Linked DNA regions of Danio rerio. The protein of the gene in region 1 interacts with the protein of each later gene in a pairwise test. Links are inferred from orthologs where the notes say so. Each region holds a gene or a part of one and is shown in the gene's direction. Other genes may lie near its edges.

The links.
Region 2: the proteins of mapk8ip1a (region 1) and lrp1ab interact in a two-hybrid assay, tested with the Homo sapiens proteins (2 studies listed by BioGRID). The link is inferred for Danio rerio from reciprocal best matches to the Homo sapiens genes MAPK8IP1 and LRP1.

The regions. Positions count from the first base shown.
Region 1 is NC_133200.1:14,768,111-14,778,051, reverse strand, and holds the start of mapk8ip1a (C-Jun-amino-terminal kinase-interacting protein 1a), read left to right. Parts: upstream 1-4,551; 5' UTR 4,552-4,746; intron 4,747-9,941. UniProt on the Homo sapiens protein: The JNK-interacting protein (JIP) group of scaffold proteins selectively mediates JNK signaling by aggregating specific components of the MAPK cascade to form a functional JNK signaling module. Required for JNK activation in response to excitotoxic stress.
Region 2 is NC_133198.1:28,416,078-28,425,459, reverse strand, and holds part of lrp1ab (low-density lipoprotein receptor-related protein 1), read left to right. Parts: intron 1-636; coding exon 637-730; intron 731-812; coding exon 813-929; intron 930-1,018; coding exon 1,019-1,138; intron 1,139-1,232; coding exon 1,233-1,355; intron 1,356-1,754; coding exon 1,755-1,880; intron 1,881-3,550; coding exon 3,551-3,667; intron 3,668-5,369; coding exon 5,370-5,476; intron 5,477-6,793; coding exon 6,794-6,926; intron 6,927-7,021; coding exon 7,022-7,144; intron 7,145-9,382. UniProt on the Homo sapiens protein: Endocytic receptor involved in endocytosis and in phagocytosis of apoptotic cells. Required for early embryonic development. Involved in cellular lipid homeostasis.

The DNA.
Region 1 (9,941 bases):
TTAATTTTCCGTCTGTCTTAAATATTACTTGAGTCCAGCTTTAAATAAGAATATTATCAAAAATCTTGTTGTTTTTTTTGACGTTTCATTAAGATGCTAATGGTCTAATCCAATTCAGTGATTTATGCTAAGCTAAAAGTGCTCCCACCACACCAAATGGTAAAACACATTGGCTTAACACTAGAATGTTTTTATATGTTTGTCTATATATATATATGTTTGTCTGTCTTAGATATAATTTGAATCTAGCTTTGAATAAGAATATTATATATATATATATATATATATATATATATATATATATATATATATATATATATATATATATATATATTGACCTTTGAGCCAGATGCTAATGGTCTAATCCAATTTCTTGATTTATGCTAAGCTAACAGTGCTCCCGCCAGACCCAGAAATTCTCTGTATTGATTAAAAAATAGAAAAACACAACTGCATAACATTAGAAGACCTGTAGATTGAGCCTATTTACAAAAATTGAGTGTTCCTTTAATCTATACCATATATTTTGTGATCTCTTAACTAAAATAAATCCTCTAGGGACAAAAAAAGTTATCTTGAATCAGTGACTGTTTTCTCACAGTCCTCAAATCTGTCATGCGCCATCAGTCCACGTGTTGTATAAGCGATCAGAGCCTCTGGATTGTGTTTATCTCAGTCTAGCGCTGTAGTAATGCAATAGAGCTGCTGTTTGCAGGGCGTCCTGTGGGATCTGCTCTAATGAAGCAAAAGCTCTCAGTTCCTGTGCAGGTCAGCTAATGTCTGCTCTTATACAGCGTATAATGGCCATACAGAGACTCTTATCTCTGGCTCTTCTGTCTCTCTATCTCTCTCTCTCTTCATCCTTCCATCTTCTGCCGAATCCCACAATGAAACGGATCTCCTCCAAGTCAATAACACATGTCCTTTGTAAGACAAAAACAAGAAGCCGTATGGCTGATGTTCTTGGCCAAATGCGGATATGATTAATAGGATTTAGTGGGTTTGCTTTAATAATAATCAGCATCACAAGAGGCTTTCAGACTTATTTTAGTTGTTGCTATTGTTTTCCGTGACATCCTTTGTCCTTTTTTAGTATTTTTATTATGATTTTCTTGTTTATTTTTTTATGGCTTTTAAGTTGAATCCGGCTTTTCATGTTTGGTTCACTTTTGATTATTTGTTTTGATCTTTATTTGCACTTTAGGTTTTGTAGTTGTTTGTTTTATTTCTTGGCCTTTTTTTAATTACCTTTTATCCATGTTATTGTTTTCGAAATCATTTTTAAATTTTAAATTTACAGTCTAAGAAATAGGTTCCCACAATTCATTCATGTTGTCCCAACACAAATCGATTAAGTTAACTCTATATTTAAGTCTATTGAACATAAATCAATTAAGATGTGCCCCAAAAAATCTCAAGAAATGTTATTTTAGCTTATTTTAAATTCTAAGTAGTTTGAACAAGTCATCTTTTTTTCATCTTTTGAAATCATCTTTTTTTTATTCTTTAAAAAAATTTTTAAATCTGTTTTAAATTTATTTATTTGGTTTTAGTGATTTTGTTTTGTCCCCCCCCCCCCCCCCTTTGATCTATCTGCAACCCACCAATTTAAGTTAACTCCTCACATTCTAGAACACCTCGATCTAATTAACACCATTTCTCAGCAGTTCCTGATGAACTTTTAATCAACCAGCGTACATCTCACGCATCAGCCTTCCAGATATTTTCATCCGTTATCAATGGCATCGATTCCCAGCAGGCATCTCTCTCGGCCTGCACTTGTGTGGAGGTGGCAACTTGAGCCGCATTGATCTGGGCTTTCAATCACGAGGATGGCAGACCCTTTTAGAAGAGACTACGCCTCTCTCGCCCTCTCTCTCTTCCTCTCTCTCCACTTCAGTGACTTTAATGGTTCCACCGAAGGACGCAGAGCACAACTGTGGACGTCCTGTGGCTGATGAAATTCCTCCGGTAAATTTTGGCGAGCTGGACAGGAGAGCCTGAAGTGGCGAAGTCGGTTTAGCTTCCCAGGAAGGGTCTTGTGGCACCCCGCCCTGCTCCGCAGATGGTGCTCAGCCTGGCCATGGACTCCAGAGAGGAATGGGACGGCTGGATGGAGGAGCAGTGGGAGAAATGGTACAGTACACATGCGGCCTTAAGGCGAGACACTGCAAGCAAAGCAGTTTTATGTTCCTGTTTTCAGATTTTTAGTCTTTATTTCAGTTCTTTTTTTCGGTTTAATGGAAAAAAAACTTCAATGTGCTCTTTAATGCTTTCTTTGGCCGTGCTTTATCAAATTGTGTCTGTAGTTTTCCATTATGATTAGTGTTTTTGAAGGTTGTTGTCTTCAAATGATATTTTGCTGTGCTTTGAGACATGATATTTCCATTTCAGCATCACTTAAACACACCAGACGACTCAGTTTTATTTATATCTATATTCCGAAGGTTTTTTTATTTTATTTTATTTTTTATCCAAGGGCTTATTCATACATATTTAGATTATTGTTATTTAAGTTGTTGTTTTTCTGGCTGCTTTTCTGAATGATTTTCCTCAGAATAGATTTTACTTGTTTATTTGTAAAGCTATACCTGACTTCATCAGGTTTTTGTGCTCAATGTTTGCCAGTTAGTGCATACCTAATAAAATAATGCTTCATTTGCATATTTAAACATTTTAGAAAACTTGAAATACAAAATAATTTCAATTACAGAAACACATATTGATCACTATTAGCTCTTTATTTTTATTATTAACCTGCAGTGTTTTTGCCTTAACTGACCTTGGATCAGCTTCCAATGTCCAATGGAGAGCTGAGTGATGTGAAGGTTTTTAATCTAAAATTAGACTTGCTTTGAGTTTTCTTGTGGCACAAAAAAAGGTGTTTGTGGTTTTGTTCAATCGCTTGACTGATTTTGTTACATGAGGTATACGGAAAAATGTGGACGACTGGGCTATTTACAGGAAGTACTGTGAATTAAGTGCTTTTAGACCTGAATTTATCAGAATACAGATTTACAAAAAATGTTAGGTAGATTGATGTTAATAGATACAGTAATACAGTTTTTCAATAAATGCTAGGTAAAATGTCATTGTGCTTAAGCAAGTCAAAGCAGTGTTTTTAAAAGAATACTTTTGTTTTTGGTCCTGCTTTCTTGCAGCAGAATTCTATGTTCATTTTTCATATGTATTCTTTGTGTGTTATCATATAGTTCTTGTGTGTTTATAAACTATTTCAATAAGAATATATTATATTGTTGTGTGTATGTATTTACACACACACACACACACACACACACACACACACACACACACACACACACACATATATATATATAATTATATATATATATATATATAATTATATATATATATATATATATATATATATATATATATATATATATATATATATATATATATATATATATATATATATATATATATATAATTTTTTGTTGTTAGATAAACGTAGCTTTAATCAAGGAATGAATTTCAATTAAAAATTGGGCAAATGAGGGAGAGGATTATATATATATATATATATATATATATATATATATATATATATATATATATATATATATATATATATATATATATATATATATAAATTCATTATTTTTTCTTCTTGTGACTACAAATAATAGGTTTCAATTTAAAGGTTTGTTTTGTTGATTGTGATTTATTCAAATATAGATCTGACCAAAACTTTTGTGAGATTTTACAAATAAAAAACATGCGAGTCAAAGTTTGCTAATTTTCCTGACAGAAAGAACAAGTAATTGCAATGTCAGTAAATTTTGAGATAAATGCATTGACCTGGTATGTTTTGTGTAGAATTTTAAAATGGATTTCCTTTGCTTTGTTTGGGATTACATATTTATATCGGGGAAGCCATGTTCCTTTCCAAGCAATATCTTATAATAATGCTGACCAATATGATTTCCCTCTTGGATTAAGTCTATAAATATGCATTCATACAATTATTTTTAAGTTTTTATTCATTATCGTGTTATTGTTATGTTATACATACGACTAAAAACCGGCTCTAAATGACCGCTTGAAAAAAGTGACGTTAGTCATTTACAGGCTAAAAAATGCGTTTTACTCAAGCATTTAGGGAAAAGGAGGGTTTTGTGTTTGCACAGTGGTCCTAAAGTTATAATTAGTCAATTGTGTGTGATTGTCTAGTGATAGTCTCGTGGAAGTATGACCGTGACGTAGTGTGTGTTGGCGCTCTTCAGGTTGACTCATGATATCAGTCTGGATGAATATGAGGATGATGATCTGTCTGAAGTGACTGAAATCACGGATGAAAACGGAATTACACTCGGCCATCTCGACCTCGACACTCAAGTAAGTCAAATACAAAAAATGACGAATCTGTTATATAAAGACAGTGAGGTAAACTTTATACAACAAAACGATAGGCCTAATATTTATGTATTATTTAATTAAGGTTTTATTTGGATACTTATGCAATATGTTTGCCTTTTTGTGTTGAGTAAATTTAATTAAATATATTTATAGCCTAACATTATATCTTTTTTTTCTGCTATCTGTTAATTACTTTTTCTTTATCCTGGAGTTTTCAGTTGCTGTAGTAACGGCTATTGTAGTAGGTAACGTTAGTATTATTACAAATTAGATAAGTTATGTTTAATGACAAATATGTCAATATTGACCTGACAAAACTTGCTCTGAGTTTAATAGGCTAACTTTGAAAAGTTTTAATGAAATAAGGTCAGTACATTAAAGTTTTATCTTTTTAGAATTCTCTAGTTAGCACATGGCTATCGTAGGCCAATTGATTAAGTTGCTGACATGTTTTGTAGCGTTAAAGGTAGTTAACATGTTTAGCCTTTTGCTAACATGAATTCACGTTAAAATGTTTTGACATGTTTTTTGACATGTTTTACGTGATACCAAGGTATTCAGTAGTGTTAGCACATTAGCAGCATGATTAAACGTTGCTAGTATGTTTTAATGTGAAAGTATGCGGTTTTGTACAGTGTTTCAACACCTTTCAAACATGCAGACATTTTTAACATTTTGCTAGCTTGAATTGCTATCATTGTGTTAACTAGCATGTTATAACTTCAAAACTGTGCTAACATAAAATATTGTTGATAATATTAACTTTTTAACATAACAATTGTAAGCATGTTACGACAGAATGTTTTATATTACGTTAACATGTTGATACTTCATTTAGCACAATGTTACCAATAATATTTTATTAACATCTTAACATCTTTTAAAATGTGTTTTAAAATGGCCTCTTAGATGTTTTTCCCTGACATTTATGCTTATTTCAACTACTTATTACATAGTATTAGCCAACATGTATTTAGCATGTTTTGCTTTAGCAGGTTTTAATGTATTTCACATGTTGAGATGTCATATCAAGCCAACATAATTATTCCCATTCTGATTCAGTGTTTTGGTCTTTAGTCTGGTTTGTAGTGTCAGGCTTACCATGATTTCGGGAAGTGTGCCAAAGTACCACCTGTACAAGCCTATAAGAGTTAATCAACATCTGCTCTGGTCCTGTAGCTTATCTCCAATAGGCTGATGAACTCATGGCTCACTGCATTATCTGACCGAGCGCTTCAGGAGTCAGAACCTATTTAGATTTATTGCTACTTTTGATTCATACTCTAACAGTTGAAGTCAGAATTTTTAGCCCCCTTTGAATTTTTTTATTTATTTTTTTTATATATTTTCCAAATGATGTTTAACAGAGCAAGGAATTTTTCACAGTATGTCTGATAATATTTTTCTTCTGGAGAAAGTCTTATTTGTTTTATTTTGGCTAGAAAATTTCAAAAAAATTTAAAACCATTTAAGGGTCAAAATTATTAGCCTCTTTAAGCTTTATTTTTCGATAATCTACAGAACAAACAATCGTTATACAATAACTTGCCTAAATACCCTAATCTGCCTAGCTAACCTTATTAACCTAGTTAAGCTTTTAAATGTCACTTTGAGCTGTATAGAAGTAAAATAAATCAGTTATTTATTAGAAATGAGTTATTAAAACTATTATGTTTAGAAATGTGCTGAAAAAATCTCGGGAATCAGAGAAAAAAAAAACAAGGGGGCTAAAAATTCAGGAGGGCTAATAATTCTGACTTTATCTGTACATTTTAAATAAGTTATACTTCAGTAGCATTCAAGGTCATTTCTGGGTCAGGATTTTGAAAAAAAAAAAAAATTTTGATTAAAATTTATTTTATTCGGCAGGGATGCATTACATTTATAAAAAGTAATTTTGTGTAAAGCGCTATATACTGTAAATGTAAGGAATTATTATTATAGTTATTATTATTGTGTATTCGCACATTGCGATATCGATGCTGAAACTATATATTGTGCAGCCCTAACATAGTCCATAATAATTTTAATATAGAATGTAAATGAATTTGTTATTTGATTTATTTGGTTATCAAAATGTCAATTTTGCAATAGCTTTTAAGTTACATAAAAGAACAGCTTGAACATTCTGCAAAATATCTTCTTTTGTGTTATATCAAAAACAAAGTCATCCAAGTTTAAAACGACATGACGATGAGTCAGTAACTAAGTCACTTTAGCAATGAAATCCCTTTTATGACATTTCTATCGTTCCCCGTGAATTAAACGTTATTAAAACACAAAGGGATATCAGTAAACAACATGCGTATGGTTAGACTACATTGATCACAGTTATCTTAATTCAGAAACAGCAGTACATCAGTAGTAAATTGTGTATGTGTGGTTTACATCTCTCCACCCAAAAACCAACACAGTCACTTATCTTTCCATGAGGCAGAGTCATACGCTCTCGGACTGAATGAAGCTAGCTGTTTACCCCACAGCAAAAATAGATTTCTAGGTCAAAGACACATCATTAGCTTCCATGTACTGCGGTCTGAATATGTGTAGAGATTATTTCCGAATTTGTATGAATTTGAATGAGCATGAGGTCACCGGAGGCTTTCCGTGTTCAGTGTCAATTAGCATAGCAGTCAATTAGCATGAGGCGTTAACAACACTGAGGGGGATGTCAAGGCTGGCCACATCTGACTGTTTCTCATGTATGTCATTGTCTAACCAATTAAACTGAAAGAAAAAGCCATTATTTATGGCTGCGCTTCCTTTTTTATGAAGCAATTATCATTATAACGTTTGTGCTATGATTTAACATAATTAAGCATAAAAAGCCAGTAACATCTGACTATTTTTAGAAGGCATCATCTTAAAAAAATGAGTAAAATATGTATGTTTTCACAACTATTTATGCAATAATTAGCATAATTACGTTTATGCTAAGATAGTTTAGCTTAATTGAATATAAATTCTCTCAATCAAAACCATTCACATCTAACTGTTTATCGTGTATTTCAGCCACTGAAACATAAATACTTTATATAAGTAATTCACAATCTTTTCATGCAGTGATTAACATTATTATCATCAACATTTACGCAAAAATTTGGCATTATTAGCTTATACGTAAATGTTCTGTCAAATCTAGTCACATCTGACTGTTTTTAATGTATGTTATCCTCTAAAAAAAGATATCAGATGTTTATGATATCACAACCTTTTTATGCATTAATTAGCATAATTACGTTTATGCTAAGATAGCTAGGTAGTTTAGCTTAATTGAATATATATACAGTAGAAGTCAGAATTATTTGCCTCCTTTGAATTTATTTTCTTTTTTAAATATTTTCCAAATGTTTAACAGAGCAAGGAAATTTTCAAAGTATTCATTCTTATTAATCCGGGGTCGCCACAGCGGAATGAACCGCCAACTTATCCAGCAAGTTTTTACGCCGCGGATGCCCTTCCAGCCGCAACCCATCTCTGGGAAACATCCAAACACACATACACTACGGACAATTTAGCTCACCCAATTCACCTTTTTTTATATAGTCTACAGACCAAACCATCGTTATACAATAACTTGCCTAATTACCCTAACCTGCCTAGTTAATCGAATTAACCTAATTAAGCCTTTAAATGTCACTTTAAGCTGTATAGAAGTGTCTTAAAAAATATCTAGTCAAATATTATTTACTGTCATTATCAATGCAAAGATAAAATAAATCAGTGATTAAAAATGAGTTAATAAAACTATTATGTTTAGAAATGTGTTGAAACAATCTTCTCTTTGTTAAACAGAAATCGGGGGGAAAAATAAACGGGGCTAATAATTCAGGGGGCTAATAATTCTGACTTCAACTGTATATATACTGTTTATATATTCCCTCTATCAAAGCCAAACACATCTGACTTTTTATCGTGTAATTCTTCATTTAGTCACTTAAACAAAAATACTTTATGTAAGTATTCACAATATTTTCATGCATTGATTAGCATTTTAACGTTTATGCTAAAATTTGGCATTATTAGCCTATACGTAAATGTTAAATGTCAAATTCAGTCACATCTGAATTGTCATGGATATTGTTGTCTATTCATCTGAACTTAAACAAAAATCCTTTATGATTTCACAAATGTTTGTATCCAACAGTCAGCATTATAACATGTTTGAACTGTTTCGCCCAGTTTAGCTTAAAAGGACAGTTCAACCTAAAGTTAAAAATTACTTACTATTTACAAACCCCCAACTGGTTCTATACCCTTTTGAGTTTCTCTCTTCTGTTGAACACAAAAGATATTCTGGAAAAAACCTAACTGTTGTCATTAACTTCCATAATAGGAAAAACAAACAATAAGTCAATGGTTACAGGTTTTTAGCTTTCTTCAAATAATTTTCTTCTGTGTTCAATGAAAGAAACAAACAAACAAAGACCAGCTGGTTTGGATAAAGCAAAGCATGACTAAATAACTTATATGTAATATAAGAATAACAGCATATGTATTTTTCTGTAAACTATCCCTTTAACTGAACTAAAATTCTGTATATGTCAGATCCAGCTGCAAGTGGCTGTCTATTTATAATCACATTTAGTCATTTAGCAAATGCTTTAGTCCAAACTGACTTACAAATTATATTTATCATAGATATCATGGTCTTAAATTAAACCAAAATCACAGTATTGTAACTTCACATCCTTTTTTATGCAATAATTAGCATTATTACATTCATAGGGTAGTTTAGCGTAATTGCCTCTGACACTGAGAAATTAAAAGGTTCTCCCTGTTTATCATAGACAATTAGACATCATCATTTAGCCATTTAAAAATGATCATACTTTCATCCTACATATCATAGTCTAACCACAATGAAGAAAGAAACCCTGCATTCATCATTTCACAGTATTTTTGTGCCAAAATTAGCATTAAAAATAAAATTAGCATGGCAGTAGCTAAACTGTAAAAAATGCAGGGTTCCACACAATTCATTCATGTCGTCCCAACAAAAATTGAAGTTAATGTAACAAATTGAAGTGCATTGAACTTAAAACAATTAAGTTGTCACAAAAAATCTCAAGAATTGTGTTGTTTCAGGTCATTTTAAAAAATTAGTTTAAACAAGCAACCAAAATTAATCTTTTTGAGTGTGTTTTTTTTATTTCACTAATAAATTCTGCATTTATTATTTAACATTTTGTTATGCGATAATTAGCATCTTAGCATCACTGTTTATACCAAGTTTTTAAAAAGGTGCATGTATAGATTGTCATAACTGAATATGCTATACATTCTAAAATGTTCATCACAGTCTAGCCATAAAGAAAGATCTCGTATGATTTCAATAACAATCTAACAATTAACAATTTAACGTAAACATTTATGCCAAAAAAAGTATGTTTAATAGAATGAAGCAGATTAGCATAGTTGAGCATGTCAAAGTGGTTCATCATCCTCCAACCACTTTTTAAAAATTCCCTCATTTACAATTGCCCAACATTTTAATCCCGCAATTAGCATCACAACACCAAGACAGCCTGCGTTGTTATATTTGAACATGCTATAAATCC
Region 2 (9,382 bases), on another chromosome or scaffold:
ATCCGTCATCCAATCATCAGTAACATGCTTCTAAACAGTCTCTGGGTCAATGTGTGTAAAGATTTTGGACACACTTCATCTACTTGGACACTTTTAATGCTTACAAACAGTTGCAATTATAAATCGGCCATGTCTTGAGGTAGTTCATTATGATGCAATTTACCTTCTATATGCGATTTGATTGGACGAGAATCACAAGACTGATTCTAATCCCCATAGACAGGAAATAATAAAGTAGTGACTGCAGGCTGAAGGAAAGTAGTGGAGTAAAAGTACTAATACTGCACTAAAAATGTACTCAAGGGAAAGTAAAAGTAAACATTAACTACTTAGTAAATTAAAAGTTCTAAAAAAAAAACTACTCAATTACAGTAGTTTGGGTATTTTACACTACTGCTTTTGGCTGCTTTTAATGAAAAAAAAAACTAAATACATGGATCTGCAAACTTGTGTTAAAGTTATTAGAGAAAGTGCCAACAGGCTTAATAAATACATTTAAATATTGGGTTTTACTTGAAAATGAAAGTCTTAAATGTCCAGGAATATATATTTATGTGGAATATGACCTGCATATGTTCTTGTCAGTGATCACTCCTCTGACTGTCTGTTTCTCTATCTCTCCTTTTCTGACCATAGTTTGTCTGTAAGAATGATAAGTGCATTCCCTTCTGGTGGAAGTGTGATACTGAGGATGACTGTGGAGATCGCTCAGACGAGCCAGCTGATTGTCGTAAGTGTATTTTCCGTAAATAATAAAAGAGAGAAAGTTTCAGACAAACACACCATCCTCATGCTCGTGTTCTTGTGTCCAGCTGAATTTAAATGCAGACCAGGTCAGTTCCAGTGCGGCACGGGTCTTTGCACAAACCCTGCTTACATCTGTGACGGAGACAATGACTGTCAAGACAACTCTGATGAGGCCAACTGTGGTATGATTACCAGCCTGTTGAGTGGAACTAAATGTATTAACTTACTTGATTCCGTTTGCTATATGAATACCCTCTCTTTTGTCATTCAGACATCCATGTTTGCCTGCCCAGCCAATTCAAGTGTTCACATCCTAGTCGCTGTATTCCTGGAATCCTGCGCTGTAACGGACAGAACAACTGCGGTCAGGGAGAAGATGAGAAGGACTGTCGTAAGTCTGCTTATTGGTTAAACTTGATTGTTATGAGTTTCACCAGTGTTTTCCAATGTGCTGATTGGCTGAGTGTTTCTGTGATCTCTTTTAGCGGAGGTGACCTGCGCTCCTAACCAGTTCCAGTGTGCCATCACCAAACGCTGTATACCCCGAGTCTGGGTGTGCGATAGAGACTACGACTGTGTGGATGAGTCTGATGAACCAGCCAACTGCAGTAAGTCCCACATACTGTAGTTCCACTTAAAATAGTTTTGACATTTAGGGCATAACACTTTAATTTCTGTTTGTTTTTTGTCTCCATATTTAATTCTTTTTACTTTTCTGAAAATATAAAGGATTGTTGTGAAGTGCAGGAAGCTAATTTCCTTTTGTTTCAGACAGCTGATAGTTTGAATTATACTCTAAAATGTTGCTTATATCCTTATTTGCTTTTATTTTTGTTATTGTTTTTAACAATGCAATTTTGTCACAGTGTGACTTTTTTCCAGGAAATATTATATATAGCATAATAAGCAAACATTTGAGCATGTTAAATGATTCCTAGAGGAAAAACCAAATCAGTATAACATGCACATAACAGCTGTTTCTGTTTTTTTTTCTTTTCTTTTTACAGCTCAGATGAAGTGTGGTGTAGATGAGTTCCGCTGTAAAGACTCAGGCCGCTGTATCCCGTCTCGCTGGACATGTGATGGAGAGGACGACTGCGGCGACGCCTCTGATGAACCCAAAGAGGAGTGCGGTATGACTGACTTTTTCTTTATTCCTTTCATTTATGCCTTTTTATTAATTCTACATTTATCCATTTTCCTCTTTCTCATTAAAATATTTTATTATTTTTTTAATGTATTGTTATTCAATTAATAATAATAAATATTTAATATGTAATCAGTGTTATGTGTACTTATTTTGAAAGTATCTAGTTACTTTAATTAGATTACTTTTCCAATGAAAAAGCAAATTAAGGGTTTATTTTTAATTTTAAGGTTATTTAATTGCAGTTACTTATAATGTATTAACTACTGCAAATAAATTAATCACTTCTGTATGAAATAACTCACTTTAAAACAGTGTAATGGGATATTTTGTTGTTTTTAGTTCGATATTTAGCATAATAACTCAATGGAGGTTAGATTAATCTGACTATTGCACTTGCTTAATGGTGCAATATGTAAGTTTGACACCCAGTTGTTGAACTAGGACTTGCATTTCTGGATCAAACAGCCAAATTGCTCATCACTGCAAATCCATCACGTAGCGTGTTGTTAGGACACGGGGTTAAAATATAACCTGCTCACCTAATGTTTACGTTAGTAATATTTATAATTTTTGCTAATAAATAACCTTATGTGGAACTCTGAATCTGCGTCTAATTTCGGAGTCTGCTACTGTCCACTGGAGGTCACATTTCAGTCACGGGTGCATGCTTCGAGAGTCGTTCTAAATGAATGAATGAAATACGCGATTTTCCAACAAGGCAACCCAGGGTGCTGAAATATAATTGTATAAACTGCCATTGGGTGGGTTTAAAGAACCAAAACAAAGACAGCAGCACAGAACGCCCATTTTAAAAAGCAGAATATTGACTTCAGCATTGTTTTTCAGATAAACAAGAATGTTCACCTGGCACGTTTCTTAAATATTTGCAAACATATTATGGTATTTTTATGCTTCAGAAGAGTCAAAAACGTACATACAGCACCTTTAAAGTGAAAAATAAAAATGTGCTTACTATTTAATCCACTCAAGTGGTTCCAAACCTTTGAGTTTCTTTCTTTGGTTACACACAAAGAAAGCTGAAAACCTGTAACCATTGACTTCCATCGTATTTGCTTTTCCTTCTATGGAAGTCAATGGTTACAGGTTTCCAACAGTCTTCAAAATATCTTCACTTGTGTTCAACAGAAGAGAAAAACTCAAGTAAAGGGTGAGTAAATGGTGACAGAATTATTATTTTTTTGTGAACAAGCCATTTAAGAAATTGTAATATATTCTATTTATGAAATATGGTGTCATTATACTGGATGTTTTTTTTTGTTTTGATACATAATGTTTTTAAAAAATTTATGTGAGTTTTTAAAATAAAACTAAGAATCTGGTTTGATTCAAATTTAAAGAATTAAAATAATCTTTATTGTGTATGCATTGAGAATTATATATTTTTAAATAGTATTGGGTGAACTAATTAAATTACTTTTCAGGAAAAGTAATTAGAAACGTAACTTCAATACAATTGTAATGATGTAAATAGTAATTAATTACTTTTTTGAAGTAACTTTAACCCAACACTGTGTGTAATGATAAAAATACAGAAGTCATTTATGTTTGATCCTCTTTAGTATGTTTTATTTTATAATTAGTAAACTGTTTATTTAGATAAAACTGATTAATCATTTGTTTTTCTTATGGCAGATGAGAGAACATGTGAGCCTTACCAGTTCCGCTGTAAGAACAACCGCTGTGTGCCGGGCCGCTGGCAGTGTGATTATGATAATGACTGTGGCGATAACTCAGATGAGGAGAAGTGTGGTACGTATCTCAACAGACAGACTGACTTTAGCATTCCTGCTCACCTTAATGCACCTGAGACTGCATGTACCACTACTGTACACGCACAACGCTGAATCTAGCAGCTTCCTATTATTTGTGCCCGTTACATTTGTCTGTGGGAGGCATTGTGGGTATTTTGTCCGGTGTCATAGCTCACCCATGTTGCTCACTGCTGCATCTCACTTCATGTTGTCTCTATTCTTCATTTCACACTGACCCATTGGCTTGACTCAGAGGTAGGTCTCCAACCCCTTCAAACCTCTCCTCTCTTCTCCTCATTTCCCCATGCTTTCATTTGTGTTTTTGACAGAAGTGGCACAGCTTCTGCCCTCTAGTGGCGAAATTGTAGAGTTCATTTTTCCTTCTTTAAATTAAATACAGTGACGCTTTTAGCAGTTAACATGCTAATATTGTTAGATTTTTCCTACATTTAGATTTTTTTTTTTTTATATATTAACAAACATATAGTTTACAATTTTACATAAAAATATTGGTAACGCTTTGCAGTAAGGTTGTATTGCTTAATATATTAGCTAATGTATTTACTGGCTTGAATAAACAGTAAACAATAGGTTTATTACAGTATTAATTTGATTTGTCAACGTTAGTAATTGAAAATGAAGTTGGATTTTTATAATGTTTTAGTACAGGGGTTCCCAAACTTTTCAGTCCGCGACCCCCAAAATGACAATGCCAGTGACTCACGACCCCCAATATCCTCCCAAGTCTATTCTTCGTTTTTATTTTTTTGTCACAGCTATGAATGTGCCAGAAAGTTTAACCTGGTGTTATAAAATCAATCTGCTGCATCTGACACTTTTGCTTTCTTTAATATAATGTAATTACCCCAGGGGTCGCAATCCAATAGTAACTATAAGCTACTATAGTAACTATATAGTAAATGGTAACTATAAACAACATTTTTTTTTCTCTTCAGTAGGTTATGTATAAAATATAGTAATTCCTATGGTTTAGAAAAAATAAATAGATTTTTGGAAATCACCAGGCGACCCCCCCCTTCATTGTCCCGCGACACCCACTTTGAGAAACATGGCTTTAGTAACTGTTGAACTATAATGATTAAACGTTGTACAAGTATTGTTCATTCTTAGTTTATGTTAGTACATACATGAACTAACATTAAGTAATGAAAAATGATTGTAAAGTGTCATAAAAAATGTCAAAGAGGTTATTCCAAATTTATAATAAAATACACACATACACATGTATTTATTAAATATGTGAAATATATTGAATATATTTATAAAATGTATACATTTACTTCAACACTATATATGAAATTGAATGAAGTACAGTTCTTAAAGACGTATATTTTGTGTGTATGTTTCACTGCACTCAATTAGTAGTGTAATTTACATACATTTCTAAATCTCTATACATGTAAACACAAGTAACTTGGAAGTTATTAAAGTAAAAAAGGTATGTCACAAAAATGATCATCAGGTTTGGGATCTCTGAATTTGATTATTAGATGTACAGTATGTGTTAAAAGTGTTTCCTTTTGCCCTCACTCTTTAAGCTTTACTATAGCCCTTGTCTTAAAATGTGTCCCTTTCTTTCCTCTTATGTTTTCCTTGCAGTCACCATAGTGTATTGCTGGCACATACAGAATGTCTATGTTCAGTTTCAACATTTACTTGTCTTGTTCTGTCTCTGTCAGTGCCGCGTCAGTGCTCAGAGAGTGAGTTTGCCTGCTCTAATGGCCGCTGTATTGCTGGAAGGTGGAAGTGTGATGGAGATCATGACTGCTCAGATGGATCTGATGAGGTACTGCAGTTCATTACCTCCCTTCACCACCTGTAATGCAAATTGTGTGTAGCCAATTGAAGAAGTGCAATAATCGATGGACCACTTAATCAAATCTTCACTTAACTGCAACAATTCTCCATTCAACCATGAGTTTCTGCTAAATCTAATCATTTGTTAAAACATCCTGAAAGCACTGGATTTTGTAATCGCACCAATATGAATTATATAATTTTTATATTCTATTACTTATAAATTCTATTTAATTTAGTCTCTTCTATTTGCCTTTTGATCTAGGTGTATGTAAACAAATATAACACATTCATGAATATTAATTTATTTGTAAAATTGTAGGATATTAATGAGCTACTTATGTTTATCTAGCATCCCAAGATACTCTCCATTATTATATTATATTACACACACACACACACACACACACACACACACACACACACACACACACACACACACACACACACACACACACACACACACACACACACACACACACATATATATATATGTGTGTGTGTGTGTGTGTGTGTGTGTGTGTGTGTGTGTGTGTATATATATATATATATATATATATATATATACACACACACACATTTATTTATATATATATATGCGTGTGTGTGTGTGTATATAAATAAATATATATATTTATATATATATTTATATATATATTTATATATATATATATATATATATATAACAAATTGATTGCATTTACATTCCATTCACTTTACTGTGATTACAATTACTCAATGTGTCTACTAAATGAGTTATTGGCTGTTAATTGCTCTGTATGGATATTATTATAGTTACAACCCGACCATACTGCAGTGTAATACTATAATTTTAACAATTTGCTTCACATAATACCTATTAATTATTCATTTATTTTTACCTGTTTTAATTATTCATTTATTTTTACCTATTATGTATTTGTAGTACATTTTAAACTTATATGTAAGTTATATAAATTAGATTGACACCTAAATTGTACATACTAGTGATGTTTCAGTTTGTAATTGTAGTTTTTAATACCACAATAAAAATCCTACCTGAACTAAACATTTTTAAGGACAAATAAATGAGTATAATTTAAGGACAAATAAACATTCTGTATTAAAAATTAAAACTAAATTGCAGAAATTGCTGTGATCGTATGCTGTATCCCTAATCAAACATATTTTGTAATGCTTTATTTATTGAATTAAATATTTTGAATGTGTTAAATTTTATTGTTTTTATTTAACACCATGTGTTATGTTAAGTGATATTACATGACAGTATAATATATGAATCTTTATTTCTGTGTGTGTCTGTTAGGATGGCTGTGATCTGAAGTGTGAGGAGGATCAGTTTCAGTGTAAGAATGGTCACTGTATTCCGCTCCCCTGGCGTTGTGATGCTGATGTGGACTGCCTTGATGGCAGTGATGAAGAGCGCTGTGAGATTACTGGTATGCGTGTCTGTTTATTGCAGGCTTATACATGTGTATTCTTGTTAAGATTGGTCTAATGGATTGATCTGATTTTTCTACTCCTGCTCTCTCAGAGGTGCGGCACTGCTCCAGTGAGGAGTTCCAGTGTAATAACACTCTGTGTAAACCACTGTCCTGGAAGTGTGATGGAGAGGATGATTGTGGAGATAATTCAGATGAGAACCCTGAGGCATGCAGTAAGTATACACACACACATACACGCACACACACACACGTTTGTTTTTATAAAAAGTGGGGACATTACATAGGTTTCCATACATTTTATACATCACAAACCGTATATTATATTGCCCTCACCTTGACTTACCCCTAAACCTAACCATCACAGGAGACTGTGTGCAGCTTTACTCTCTGATTAAACTCATCCTGTGGGATTTATAAGCATTTTGAGAAATGAGGACATCACCAATGTCCTCACATTTTCCTCCTTTTTGTAATACCTGTGTCATACCTATGTCATTATACAGATTAGTGTCCTGATATGTCACAAAACACGTAGACAAACACACATACACAAACACACACACACACTCAACAAAAAGAGATTGGGGAAATTTGGCTTTTCTTATAGTGTTTGTTTTAGTCTATTGTAAAAAAAATCATCCAGAATTTACATTTAACTGTTACATTTGTCAAACATTATCCATTTGTATCTGTAGATTTCAATAACAATGTATATTTTTAATAAAAGCATTTTAATTTAGGAGCATTTACTTCATTTACACCACACTTCATGGTTATATTCATATTTATATTTTGAAGGCTTTGACAGAGGAACATGCTCATGCATAATTTGCCTGAATATATACATTTAATTCTACAAAGTAATTGTGAAAATCATTTTGACTTTAATATGTCCAAAAAAGTTTAAACCAAACCTTTTTGCATGCTTTATGATGTAGTTGCTTGTTTGCATATTTAAATATAGCATTTCAGAGAATGATATACATCAGAATGTTTGTAATTCTTAATGTAATCAATAGTGAAGTATAATGGTATTTATTTATTTTTTTTATTTACCTGCCGGTATCTGTAGTTTATTAAACTTTCGCCGTTTGCTAGTTAATTTATGTAGGAAATTTTAAATAGTGTGTTAAAATAGGATTTCTGGTAACACTTGATTTTTTTGTCACAATTCACTATTAACATATTAAAGGTGCAGAAGGTGATCTGCCACAATGCTAGCCTGTTAGCATAAATCTCTAAAACACCGTCCCTCCCCTGCCGTCCAAAGCCACGCCACCTGAAAACACAAGCGCACGAACCTTAATGAAGATGACAGCAGAACCCTCTCTCATGTGTTGAGCTAAAGCTTGGCCGGCGTCGTGCAGGAATTACACTCATTATTACACTCAATTCTAAGCTGTACTTACATGCTACTTCTGACCGAATATTCAGAGTAGCGGTAAACACCATAGGAAGCGCGTCGCACGTTGTCAATGTTCAAAAATTAACCAATATGAATATAAAACCATCTTAAGCTAAGTAAAGTAGGCTAGGCGGAATAGCGTTATTTACTGATGTTCTGTTGTTAAACTAAATAAAATCTACATTATTAATGCTGTAAAAGGCCTTTATGAAACAGAAAATAGTCACATCAATCTTACACCAGAAGATTTCAGTGGCTAAACTACACTTCTGTGCCTATAACTCAGTCATAACAACCCAGTCTACATCAGCTCTGCGTGACAAAAATAGTTTCAAATCATAACATTACCTGTCCAAGAGAAATACTTGAGCCATGGTGTCGTCCTTCCTCCAGCATGCGAAAGTAACTCCAATATTGATTCAAGATTTTTAAAAAGTTTCGATTCAGCATGTTTTTACTGCTCGCTCTCTCTCTACCACTCTCGTGAACGCGCATGCACGTGTGTCCACAAATGGAAGAGCTGCGTACAAACAGGTGCGCAGTAACTTAAATTTGCATTTGCTGACAGACAGTTTGAGCTCCGTATCAGAATTATGGGAGATGTCAGCTCGACATTTAAATTGGACAAACATTTTTTAGTCTTATGCCTTAACCAGAATATAAAAATACATAAAAATACATTTAGATCACTTACTTTAATCAGTACTATTTGAATGTGAAGAGACTTTCAGCCAGCACAACAAAAAATGTTTCTGAAGGCAGTCACCTACTGCACCTTTAATTAACAGTCCTAGCTTAATAAACTAGTAATTAGCTTTTTATTAATAGTTATTAAGGTAGAAGTTGGGTTTTAGGTATTTGGTAGGATTAGGGATGCAGAACAAGATTATACTTCACTTAACTTCTAATGAACAGTTAATATCTTAATAGTAGGTAAGTTATAAGTAGGCCTACATGGAAACACGCAGATTTATAGCCCAAGTCTATTTATTTGCTTGTGTAAATGTGTTTAAATTTATATTTATTCAGCATTTAAATTATTTTA